Coturnix japonica: one gene and its partners. The protein of the gene in region 3 purifies or fractionates together with the protein of the main gene of each other region. This does not show direct contact. Links are inferred from orthologs where the notes say so. Each region holds a gene or a part of one and is shown on either strand. Other genes may lie near its edges. The genes, in order: GAB1, PLXNB1 and MET.

Region 1 (3,152 bases), on a different chromosome or scaffold from region 3:
TCCCTTATTACCTCATGATATGAAAGGGGTATTAGGTGGAAGGTACAGATTGATTTGATGACAATCTTAATTATGGGGGGTGGTTTTTGGTTTCCTTCCGTCCATTCCCTTTGGCTTTTGATTTTGTCCCAGGCTTAACGTTGTTCTGTTTCTGTTTAATTTAACTGTATCTATATAACATCAACAAAACTTGCATGGTTTAACTGGGTGTAAAAACTCAGTTCTTTAACCTTCAATGTTTTGACAGGTTATAATAAGCATATTTGATAATTTGGATTGTTAGCATGTACGTTTGCAGCTGAAGTTCTCTATGTTACAATTTCAGAATCTGTTTGGTAGCAACAGTCTTGATGGAGGAAGCAGCCCCATGGTAAAACCTAAAGGAGATAAGCAAGTAGAATATTTAGATCTGGACCTAGATTCGGGAAAATCTACCCCACCTCGTAAGGTAAGCAAGTCCTGACTTTTCAAATGACTGGCATTAACAGCTTGGAATTTCTTTACAAGTAGCTGCTGGGAAAGAGCCTCCAGCAAGATCGCCCCATTTAGTTTATCCAAAGGTCAATCAGAGGGGCTCTTTCAGACTCTTCAGATAAACCTGTGCTTGTTTTGAATCTGTTCGGTATATGTACTTAATTTTCTAGTAAAGAAATTATTAGTTTAACTTGCTTGTTCATTCTGTCTTGTCTTTATCCAGAAAAAGAGCAGCGGTTCAGGCAGCAGTGTGGCAGATGAAAGAGTTGATTATGTTGTAGTTGACCAGCAGAAAACACTTGCACTGAAGAGCACAAGAGAGGCATGGACTGATGGGCGGCAGTCTACAGAATCAGAAACACCCACAAAAAGTGTGAAGTGAAAACTCTGCTTATTCTTCAAGGAACAGAAAGGAATGAATTTCGAAGATCTGACAAACCATCGTGGCACTGTTGCTTGACTGTATGGTATTCACCAGTGTGTGAACAGGTTTTTGACTGAATAGGATGGAAGCCAAAGGACACTTCATAAGCATCAATGGAGTTTAAGATCATAAATTGGCTATGTGGTCTCTGGAAAATTTGCAACCTGTAAATAACGTGTAAAATAGTACCACTTTGCTTTCAGAAAACCTTTCGTTCTGTAGTTAACACATTTGTAGTGTATTACTATGTTTATGCACTTTTTCAGTTACAATGTTGGTTCAGGTATTCCCAGTTAGTGTACCTTGATGCCTAATTCATTTGGAGAGTTTTTTTTCCTTACACTACTATTCCTTACAATTCTAGGTTAACTAAGCTACATGTAGATATGGAAATTAATATTTGAACTTCATTTTAACAACTTAAAATTGATTTTTTGCAGAAATACTTTCACAATTGAATAATTTACTTGAAATGTCAAGAGGTAACCGTTAGTTACGTACTTGTTTATATTTAATACATGCAAAAGATTATTTGGAAATCTACAGGTTACCTTCCTAACAAAAATTGCTGTGATTTAATAATAATGAACTATACTGGGTTTAGACCTGCAATACTGGCTAATATGTTAGTTGTTAGTGGTGGAACTTCTATTGTATTTTATTAATGACAGTGTTCTGTGTTTGATAGGTGAAGATTCTGCAGGGTGGGATCTCACACTTTTTAAGACTGAGTAATTAAATATCACGTAAGCCTGCAAACCACTGATGGCATGCAGTAATATTGTGATCTCACACTTATTAACAAAAAATAACCTTTATATTATTTACAGAAGGTAGAGTATATAAATCAGGTACGTACCAAGCACTACTGTGCTAATACACTGATCAGGTTTAGACAATGAGCTTTAGTTTTGTACTGTTTAGAAGTTCTAATGTCGGTTTTCAGTTCAAGATGAATGGGACAGTTTGACGTTCACTGTTTATAGTACTAGCAAAATACTGTGATTTTGAATTAGACATTAATTCAAATGGAAATACTATGTTTTGACACCGTAGTGCCCTTCTTACAATCTTTATTTTACTTTTAATCTCCTGCTTGGCCTTATATTTAAATCCCTATGCAAATGATATTTTATATCTCTGTTTTAAAAATTAGATAATGTACTTAAATGATCCCCTTGTAAACCACTCGTTCCTCTTTCCTGGTACAGGATTTTAAGCTCTGTATACTGTGATCCCTTATTTTACTACGACAGTTCCAAATAATAATCTGCCTTGATTTAGAAACAATTTTTTTTATATATGGAAGAAAATAGATACATGAACAGGATAGATCTAGGTAGAAAACTTACTAACCCCTTTTTTTTTTTTTCTCTACGCAACCGCCCTTAAGTAAGCTGTTGGTTTTGTTTTCTCACCCCATTGTTTTGTTTTGTCTGTGTCACTTTAAATTTTGAGTATACAGCTCTTTTGTTTTCTGGCATGTTGGCCTTAGTACTGTGCCTAATCTACCATTTGTTGGTTCTCTCCCCTCACAACCACAATCTACCATATGTAAATTATGTTATTTTTAACGAAGGTTCTTTTAAAATTAGTAATATTTTGATGCTTTTAATGTTCATTAAAAAAAAACACAAAAACAACTAAACAATGGATTTTGAGGTGAATTTTAAATAAATCGAGTTGTTGAGTTTCGATGTGTAAGCTTTGTCCTGTTAAACAGCAAGAGGCATTAATACCTTTGTAAAAGTGCCTAGATGATTGCAACTGCTTTTTTTCTGCAATTGTGCTGTCAAAACAAACAAACAAAGGGTTGGATTAATTTTCAGAACAAATCTCTGTTTTTAAACAAGCAACTAAAATTAACCTGACTCCCAGCCTCCTGGGAGCTGGGAGAAGTGATGTGAGCCAAGGAGACCTTGAGAGGTTAATTGAAGCATTGCAAATCCTAAAGGACTTTGGAGGTAAAACTCAACTTCGCTTTGATTTGAAGGTATTATTATTACATATTATACTGTTCCTCACTGCTGCAGTGGCTGATGCACTCACAGATATGTTGAGTATTTGGAACAGGGACATTTAATGTAAAGGTAACTTTGGTTTAGGATGCTGGTTTTAAACATTTAATTGGTACAATCATAGCAGTGCACTTCCACCAAGTTGCCTCTGAATGTGCTAATGGAAGTAATGAGACAATCACTGCTCTGGTTTATCAGCCATGGTTGTTTTGATGTTTACCATTGTGGGAAAGAAT
Region 2 (3,656 bases), on a different chromosome or scaffold from region 3:
TTGTTCAGCTGAAGGAAGCACGGCAGGTGATGAGGGAAGAATTCCACACAAATCACCTGAATAGCTGAGGAGATTTTGCCATATACGTATACAGCTGTCTAATGGGTCTGAAATGGTCTCCATGGACATAACATGACAGCAGAACCAAGCTAGCTCTGGTCTTTGGTCTCAGACAACTTGATTTTTGGCTTGCATGATGCTTGGAGTAAATCAACCAGGTCTCCTTTTCAGTCAAAGAGAGGGAGGCTTCGTGCCCTATTACAGCAGGCAAAGTGAACAGGATTGGCTTTTCCATTTAGATAGCAAACACTGACCTGTATTTAAACTGTAAAGGTCACTCACAGTCTAGTTTTCACTCTTCTACACTTCAGATTCTTTTAGCAACTCATTTGTAAGCAATCTTGCTTTTATTTCAGTAATGAAGTGTTTTACCTGTATTATTTTCATCTTGCTTTGCTGAAGCAACCTGCTTCTATTTTCTAACCTGAGCTTATCAGACAAGAACCATCCAGGAATCTCATCTGTGTTGTCCTTCTGCTTCTGTAGTAATTCTTCCAGTCAATGAACTGTTGCCAAATGCTCTTAGAAGTGTTTTGCTGTGTTAACTGTGCCAGCCTTCTCTTCATATTTGCTGTTATGTAGGTTTTCTCTCTCCTTCACTGCGTTTGTAGCCCTTCTTTGTGCTATTTTTATGCTCTGCTAAGATTAATTTGAAGTCGGTAATGAGAACTATACAATAATCTAAATGAGATGTCATTAGACGTATTTTCCTATTCCTACTTAAAAAGCTTTTCCCAGCTTGCTAAAATATTTTCCTCTTTTCAGCTTTACTTCAAAGGTTGCATTATAGCTCATCTGTCACTTCAAGCTGATGAGTTCCACATTGGTAGCAAGATCTCTTGCTCTTAATTTGCAAGTGCTCAACCTTGTCCTCTGTGCTGCTGAACAGCACCATTACAGTCACAGGAAGTAATTGGCTTTTTGGAGAAAAGGGTATTTATAACTATGGTGTCATAGTCCTGAAACCCTGTGAGGATTGGCCCTTCCACCACAGCCAGATGCCGTCACCTTCATAACAGCGATAGGAGCTGGCAGCATTGCAGCGACTCCTGCCTTCAGCAGCATGCGATGCCATCTTTGTTCTTAATCCTGGTTTTTCATAGACACCTCATCACCTGTTTTACCAGCATCATTTCTCTCTTGTCATCCTGTCAGGAATCCAGTTCAAGCCTGAGGGACCCTCTGTCAGACTGGATAGTTTCTTTGTTGCCTTCCAGACTATTGCAAATGAGCAGATTTTTGCATGCCAAAGTAAGACTGAACTCTCTTAGAGGAAGGACGAACAGCCTCCTTGTTACTAGTTTTTGTAGCACATTGTTGCGGACAAATGGCGGCTCCTGGAGTTCAGCAGAGCACGCAATATATTCCCATTAGTTAGAGATCTAACGCTCAGTTCTAAGGTTGAGGGCATTTGTTTGAAATGAGGTTAACTGGCATTCTTAGTACTGCCATATGTGAAACGTCTCCCTCAGGTTCATGCTATCAGATAGAGTTAGCTATGACCATTCCTGCAGTTATTTGATCTGTTGTGAAGCAATGGTCATGCCTCTCAGTCTGGACATAAAAACAAAGAACTTGAGGCGATATCTGCGTGTGAAGCACATGTTGGTTCTAAGGGTTGGGTTTTCCCTTGGATCACAAATGACAACAGTCATCTTTGAGCCTGGAATGTCACCTCTTCCTGTAATACAGAGGCGACAGTGGGATTACAGCAAATCTAGATGGAGCAATCTTCAGACATCTTCCTTCCTCTGGGTTGGCAAGAGCTGTCGTAAACTACCCCGATAAACTTGTCCAACTTGTTTTTAGTGTGCATAGGATAATCTAGTGATGGAGATGCTAGCAGCATGGAAGGGAATCTGTCTCCAGTTTTGACAGGTGTCTTCCATAGAGCATGTGCTGTGTCTTCTAACAGTATGGCAGAAATGGCATCATTTCTAAGAGATTTTTATTTTCACTTTCAGATCATGTCACCATAAAGCTTGTAGTGCGTTTCCATGACATCTTCATTGCTTCTGTGGACTTCTCTTTCTATGATTGTGCTGCAGTGGCCCTGCTATGGAAATCAGCACCGTGAGCACCTGCTTTTTCTTGTCTGTAGTTCTAGGGAGGGTGGCTGCCCTGTCCTGGATCAGCATAGGAACTACTTTTCTATCACTGTTCCAGGTGCCAGAAGTGTGTGAGCAGTCCCTGGGGATGCAACTGGTGCGTCCAGCAGCACCTCTGCACCCACAAAGCAGCCTGTGAAGAAGGAACCATTATCTACAATGAAAGGGTGCGTCTCCTACTCAGTCCCTCGGTGGTGAAGCAGCCTGTTGTGAACATAGCTATGGGGGTGATACGGAGTGGTTTTGTCCCCGAGTTTTATTCTGTGTTATTTCTTTTCTCTTACCCTGCCATGTTGTTTTTCTTTAGGCCCAGATCCCAACTTCAAGTGTGTTCCTTTCGTCAGCAGCTCCCCTCACTAAGTCCTCTACCGTAGCCCCAGTGGTGACCATAAAACCCATCACTCCCCCTGTGCATGCAGTATCAAACACTGTGCCCCCCACAGAGCCCAACCACATCACGTTCTCTGCTGCGTCCGATTCAATGACTGAGCCTACAGAAATCATCAGCAACCCGTACTCAACGCTTTCAGCTGAAGCAGCGTCTCTCCAGGCTGTTACAGAACACCCCCTGCCACCACCAGCAGACAAACCTGCTGTCACTCTGCCAGGCACAGCTTCTCCTGCTGCATCTATTCTCACCAGCCCAGGCAAAAACATGGATCGTGCAGCCTTACCAACCATAGGGCCGTCTGCTGCCCATGAGCCGTGGCACACTGAGCCACCTACCACTGTAGCAGCTACTCCTCTGTTCACATCTTCGCCGGCAGTGACACCTTCCCCACATGTCACCAGTTTAAGATTGCCTTTGAGTTCTTTTCCTACCGCAGAGGCCCTGACATCTGCCATCCCATCTCCCCAAACCCCTGGTCAGATGCCAGAGGACCCTTCTGCCTCTAATGACTCTCCTGCCATGCTGGGAACTGAAATACCTGCATCAGAGCCCCCACCGTCAGCTTCCCAAGACTCAGTGCTGGGGGAGGACGCAGAGCTCCAGGACACAGAGGACTGGATGGATTTGCTGCAGGCTGAAAACGACACATCTCCCTTCTCCGCTTCTACTCTTTTATCGGGTGATGGTGATTCTTCAGAGAGGGACGTCCCTGACTTGCCCAGGATCCTCCACCCTGACCTTGACTATCAGTATGATGCCCCTGGATTCTGGGAGGTAAGCTGCTCAACTTCAGAATCTGCAGCTTAAGGCTGTAATTATTTGAAGTTTTCATTTGATTTGCTGGTCTGATGTTTCAGCACATAGAAGAAGCTGTGCTCTCTGAAACAGTAGGTGACCACCGGAATGTGTGGGAGGAGAAGGGGCAATCTGAAGCTCCCGGGTCTTGTAGAAATGCTGCTGATCTGAAAGTGACAGCTGCTGTGATGTCCAGACTATTCACAGCTCTCTGCTGTTCACTACTTTAGGCTTGTGCATCGCTTTCTTGTAACACACGCAGATGTCCAGATGGGGCTTTGCTTCTCTGTTGGCTGATGGTT
Region 3 (3,656 bases):
TCTGTTACTACTCAGTAAAAAATTAGGACTCAGAACAGAATTTGGAGTTTAATTCCTCTTCAAGGTATACTAAGGAGTCAAGTTGGAGCGGATCCCTGCTATAGGAGGGACTCTAGAAAGCTTGACCAAGCAGGTTAACTTTGATACTCATAAAATGCAGTGGGTCACAAAAAGACTTTATTTGCTCTATAAATGCTTACCATCTGCCTACAGCAATCTCAAGTACTACCTGGCCATTTACAAAGAACAAATTATAGGGTGAAGTCATTAGTTGGCTGGATCGCCTTGTATTTTAGCTCTCTTTTCACTCTAGATCCAAATTAGCCTGTGATGCATAGAATTTTCACCACATTCTCTTCAGTACATATTTACACAAAGTCAGTCAGATCATCAGATCGTGTAAATTGGCAGCACTCCATTAACCTCAAAGGATGTCTGCCAGTTTTTACCAGCTAAGTAGCAAGCCTATAGGCTTTTATTTTCTTTCATTTATTTACTTGAGTTTCTCTGGCTCTAACTTAAGTGGCTCCTCAAGTCCCTACAGCATTTATTAGCCCACTTAAAATAAAGCTGAATGCAGTAAAATAACTTTTCAAAGGGAAAACTAATGCATTTGAATGCTTACATCAGTCAAACCATGTTCTAAAACTGGAACGTAAAGCTCTCCAACCCTATCACTTGTTATTTATTTCTTTGTTTTCTTAGTGGTCCTTCGGTGTGTTGTTATGGGAACTTATGACAAGAGGGGCACCACCTTATCCCGACGTAAATTCTTTTGATATAACTGTTTACTTGTTACAAGGAAGAAGGCTGCTACAACCTGAATACTGCCCTGACCCACTGTGAGTAAATAGTTTGCAAAACCTTCTGCAACTGCTGATATTGCAGTAACTTCTTGAGACTGTGGGGTAGAAGAGGTGGGGGGGAGGAGAGGGAGGTTTGTGTTTTGTTTTTTTTTTTTTTTTTGATAATTTCATAATTGAACACTTCTTTAATTTGGATGGCAGGTATGAAGTCATGCTGAAATGTTGGCATCCAAAACCTGAGATGCGTCCAGCATTTTCTGAACTTGTTTCAAAAATATCAACAATCTTCTCCACTTTTGTTGGGGAACACTACGTTCACGTTAACGCTACTTATGTCAACGTCAAGTGTGTTGCTCCCTATCCTTCTCTACTATCATCACAAGACAATACAGACATGGATGTAGACACATGACAAGTATGTCTGAAACAGAGGAAAATCCATTCTTAGTGGTATGAACAAAAACTGAAACATTTTGTCCACTAGTTTTTACTGCCTGGTCTTTGTGAGAACACTGTTGCACATGTTTATGTTGTTGCCCAAGTTGCACTAGTAGAAGGACACGATATCATCTTTTTTCAAGGCTGTGGGATTCTGTAAACCATCACAGTAATTTTCCAGGTATTTGGACAACTGCATCAGTTCACCAAATGGAGACATTGTGTTCTACCAACCAGATCTACTTCTTGCTCGTTCTCATTCATGTGTGCTGAGACCCAAGAACAAAGATTCATCATTAATGCCATGAAGGAGAACATAGAATACCAATCAGAAAAGCTGGAAGGACTATTATTGTTGCATGTACTTTAGGATAATGAGCAGTACAAAATGGTTCTTACATAAAAGGCAAAGACAAACCATGAAATGTACAAGAGTTTAAAAATGCATTTTCCTGCCTCACAGTCCAAACTCTGGATTTTTGCACTATGTCAATGAGGTTTCTCAGAAGACAGGCAGCCAGTAGCGCCAGCTTCATGGTAAAAGTCAACAGCAGAAGTCAACATCACAGTAAAATAAGTGCATAGTAAAATAAGTATGTCAGCCTTGCCAGGCCTCTGGCATAGTCAGACGGTACATAAAGTGAACAGAAAAGCATCTAGCTTAAAGCATTCCTAGTGTTAACTCTATTCCAACATTTGAATATTTCTTTGAGTAACAGCCTAAATCTACAGATATCTCACTGAAACAAATGCGTAGCCCCAACACTTTCAGTCAAGAAGCAACTGCTCTCACAGACAGAAAACCTGGAGGCGCCCATATTAGATGACAGGTTAATCCCTGGGAGTTAGTAACATGGGCTGCATTATTCTGGAGAGGAAGAGGAGACAGGCAGACTGGCAACTACATAGAGCTGCTGTCTGATGAGTCACACAGTGAGCAGCTGAAGGTGTGCCACCCATCCTTGGGTGGAGCTGCTGCCAAAGGTGAGTAAAAAGCGGAGGTGTTGCAGCCAGCCCTGACCTAAGAGAATGTCATAGCATAAATGTTAATCACTTTGTCACAGCAGCCCTAAGGAGCTCAGAAGACTGATGAAAAGAAGAAACAACACCTTTATGGTCCCTTATCTTTTCTTGAATCACACAACCCAGTGAATTATGATATCTATTTTTATTTCTCAATTATGCCCAGAAAAAGAAATGGGAAGAGAGAATGAATAAAGTTTCATTCAGTAGAGCGAAGTACTATAGCTTTAGGGCAAGCATCACATGTCATTTCTGTTCCTGTGGAATTCTGTGCATACTACTGTATAGCTTGTGTAGAATAGAATAGAACTGGGTTTGTTGGTGTAAACACATAAAGTATTCTATTTTTATATATTATAAAACAAAAAAAAACAACAAAAGTTTATTTTTAATGACATTTACAAAGTTTGGTTAGTCCACAAAATACTGCACTGTGAACATTTCAGAAAATGTATGTCAGCAAACATGATTCATAAATAGTAGCAACCTTAAAAAGAATACTGTGTAAATACTAGAAAGGAAAAGAACTGACTGCAAACACACTCCACCCTACCTTAAGTGTAATATCTCCATTGCTGCAAGCCAACCATTTTAAGATCTTCAAAGAGAGGCAGTGTGGGTAAGGAACTGATATAAGAGAGGTTATGTTGTTCTTGGGAGACGGCGTTATAAATGAAAGATTTATAATGAGGGCAGAGTGTGTAGGCAAACTATGAGCAGATAATATTGTACTGTGTTTCATCACCACTTTCATTTCAGAAACAAACTTTCATGTCTGCTGAGAGCAATACTAATTGTAGATTGCTCAAGGACAAAAGGCTTTGCTGCAGGCAGAAAAATCATCTCTATGGTTGTTAAAACAGCTAAGGAAATTTAGATTTGGAGAAGATACTCCAAACTTGTACATACCTGCTTGAGGAACGCTGCAATGTGAAACAGATGACATTTTTACTATTTATGAACTTTTGCTTAATAAAGTTAATGTTGTGTCTGGGACACCTGTAGGAATATGTGATTCTGGTAAAAATTGATGTTAGTAAGTTCATATATCGGCAGAAGAGCTGAACGGTACTTATGTTTATAGTTGTTGTTATGATCTAATAAACATGTTACTAAAATGAACTATTGTAATACTTTCTGCCCTGAGTGCTGTTATTACTGTTAACCTTAGAATATTAAGCTGGTAAAAGTCTGCATGTTTTTCCTGACTGAGGCTGGCAGAGCAACCAATGGAACTGCGTGCAAGAGAGCAAAAGAGAGGAAAACTCAGAGACATAAATGCATGGAGAGTGCTCCAATAAATCAAGCTCATAGTCCATCGCTGTGGTACTGTCTGCTTCAAAGAAAAGTGTGAATGCTCTGTAGCAAACAATTTTGGCACAGCCTGGT

Evidence for each region.
Region 1: the proteins of MET (region 3) and GAB1 purify together in Homo sapiens (affinity purification with western blotting; 3 studies listed by BioGRID and IntAct, with this or other methods). This does not show direct contact. The link is inferred for Coturnix japonica from reciprocal best matches to the Homo sapiens genes MET and GAB1.
Region 2: the proteins of MET (region 3) and PLXNB1 purify together in Homo sapiens (co-immunoprecipitation; 3 studies listed by IntAct). This does not show direct contact. The link is inferred for Coturnix japonica from reciprocal best matches to the Homo sapiens genes MET and PLXNB1.

Annotation. Positions count from the first base shown.
Region 1 is NC_029519.1:26,863,902-26,867,053, forward strand, and holds the end of GAB1 (GRB2-associated-binding protein 1), read left to right. Parts: intron 1-325; coding exon 326-448; intron 449-697; coding exon 698-856; 3' UTR 857-2,602; downstream 2,603-3,152. UniProt on the Homo sapiens protein: Adapter protein that plays a role in intracellular signaling cascades triggered by activated receptor-type kinases. Plays a role in FGFR1 signaling. Probably involved in signaling by the epidermal growth factor receptor (EGFR) and the insulin receptor (INSR).
Region 2 is NC_029527.1:8,846,297-8,849,952, forward strand, and holds part of PLXNB1 (plexin-B1), read left to right. Parts: intron 1-2,024; coding exon 2,025-2,133; intron 2,134-2,226; coding exon 2,227-2,335; intron 2,336-2,475; coding exon 2,476-3,333; intron 3,334-3,656. UniProt on the Homo sapiens protein: Receptor for SEMA4D. Plays a role in GABAergic synapse development. Mediates SEMA4A- and SEMA4D-dependent inhibitory synapse development. Plays a role in RHOA activation and subsequent changes of the actin cytoskeleton.
Region 3 is NC_029516.1:22,355,106-22,358,761, reverse strand, and holds the end of MET (hepatocyte growth factor receptor), read left to right. Parts: intron 1-705; coding exon 706-842; intron 843-1,007; coding exon 1,008-1,218; 3' UTR 1,219-3,400; downstream 3,401-3,656. UniProt on the Homo sapiens protein: Receptor tyrosine kinase that transduces signals from the extracellular matrix into the cytoplasm by binding to hepatocyte growth factor/HGF ligand. Regulates many physiological processes including proliferation, scattering, morphogenesis and survival.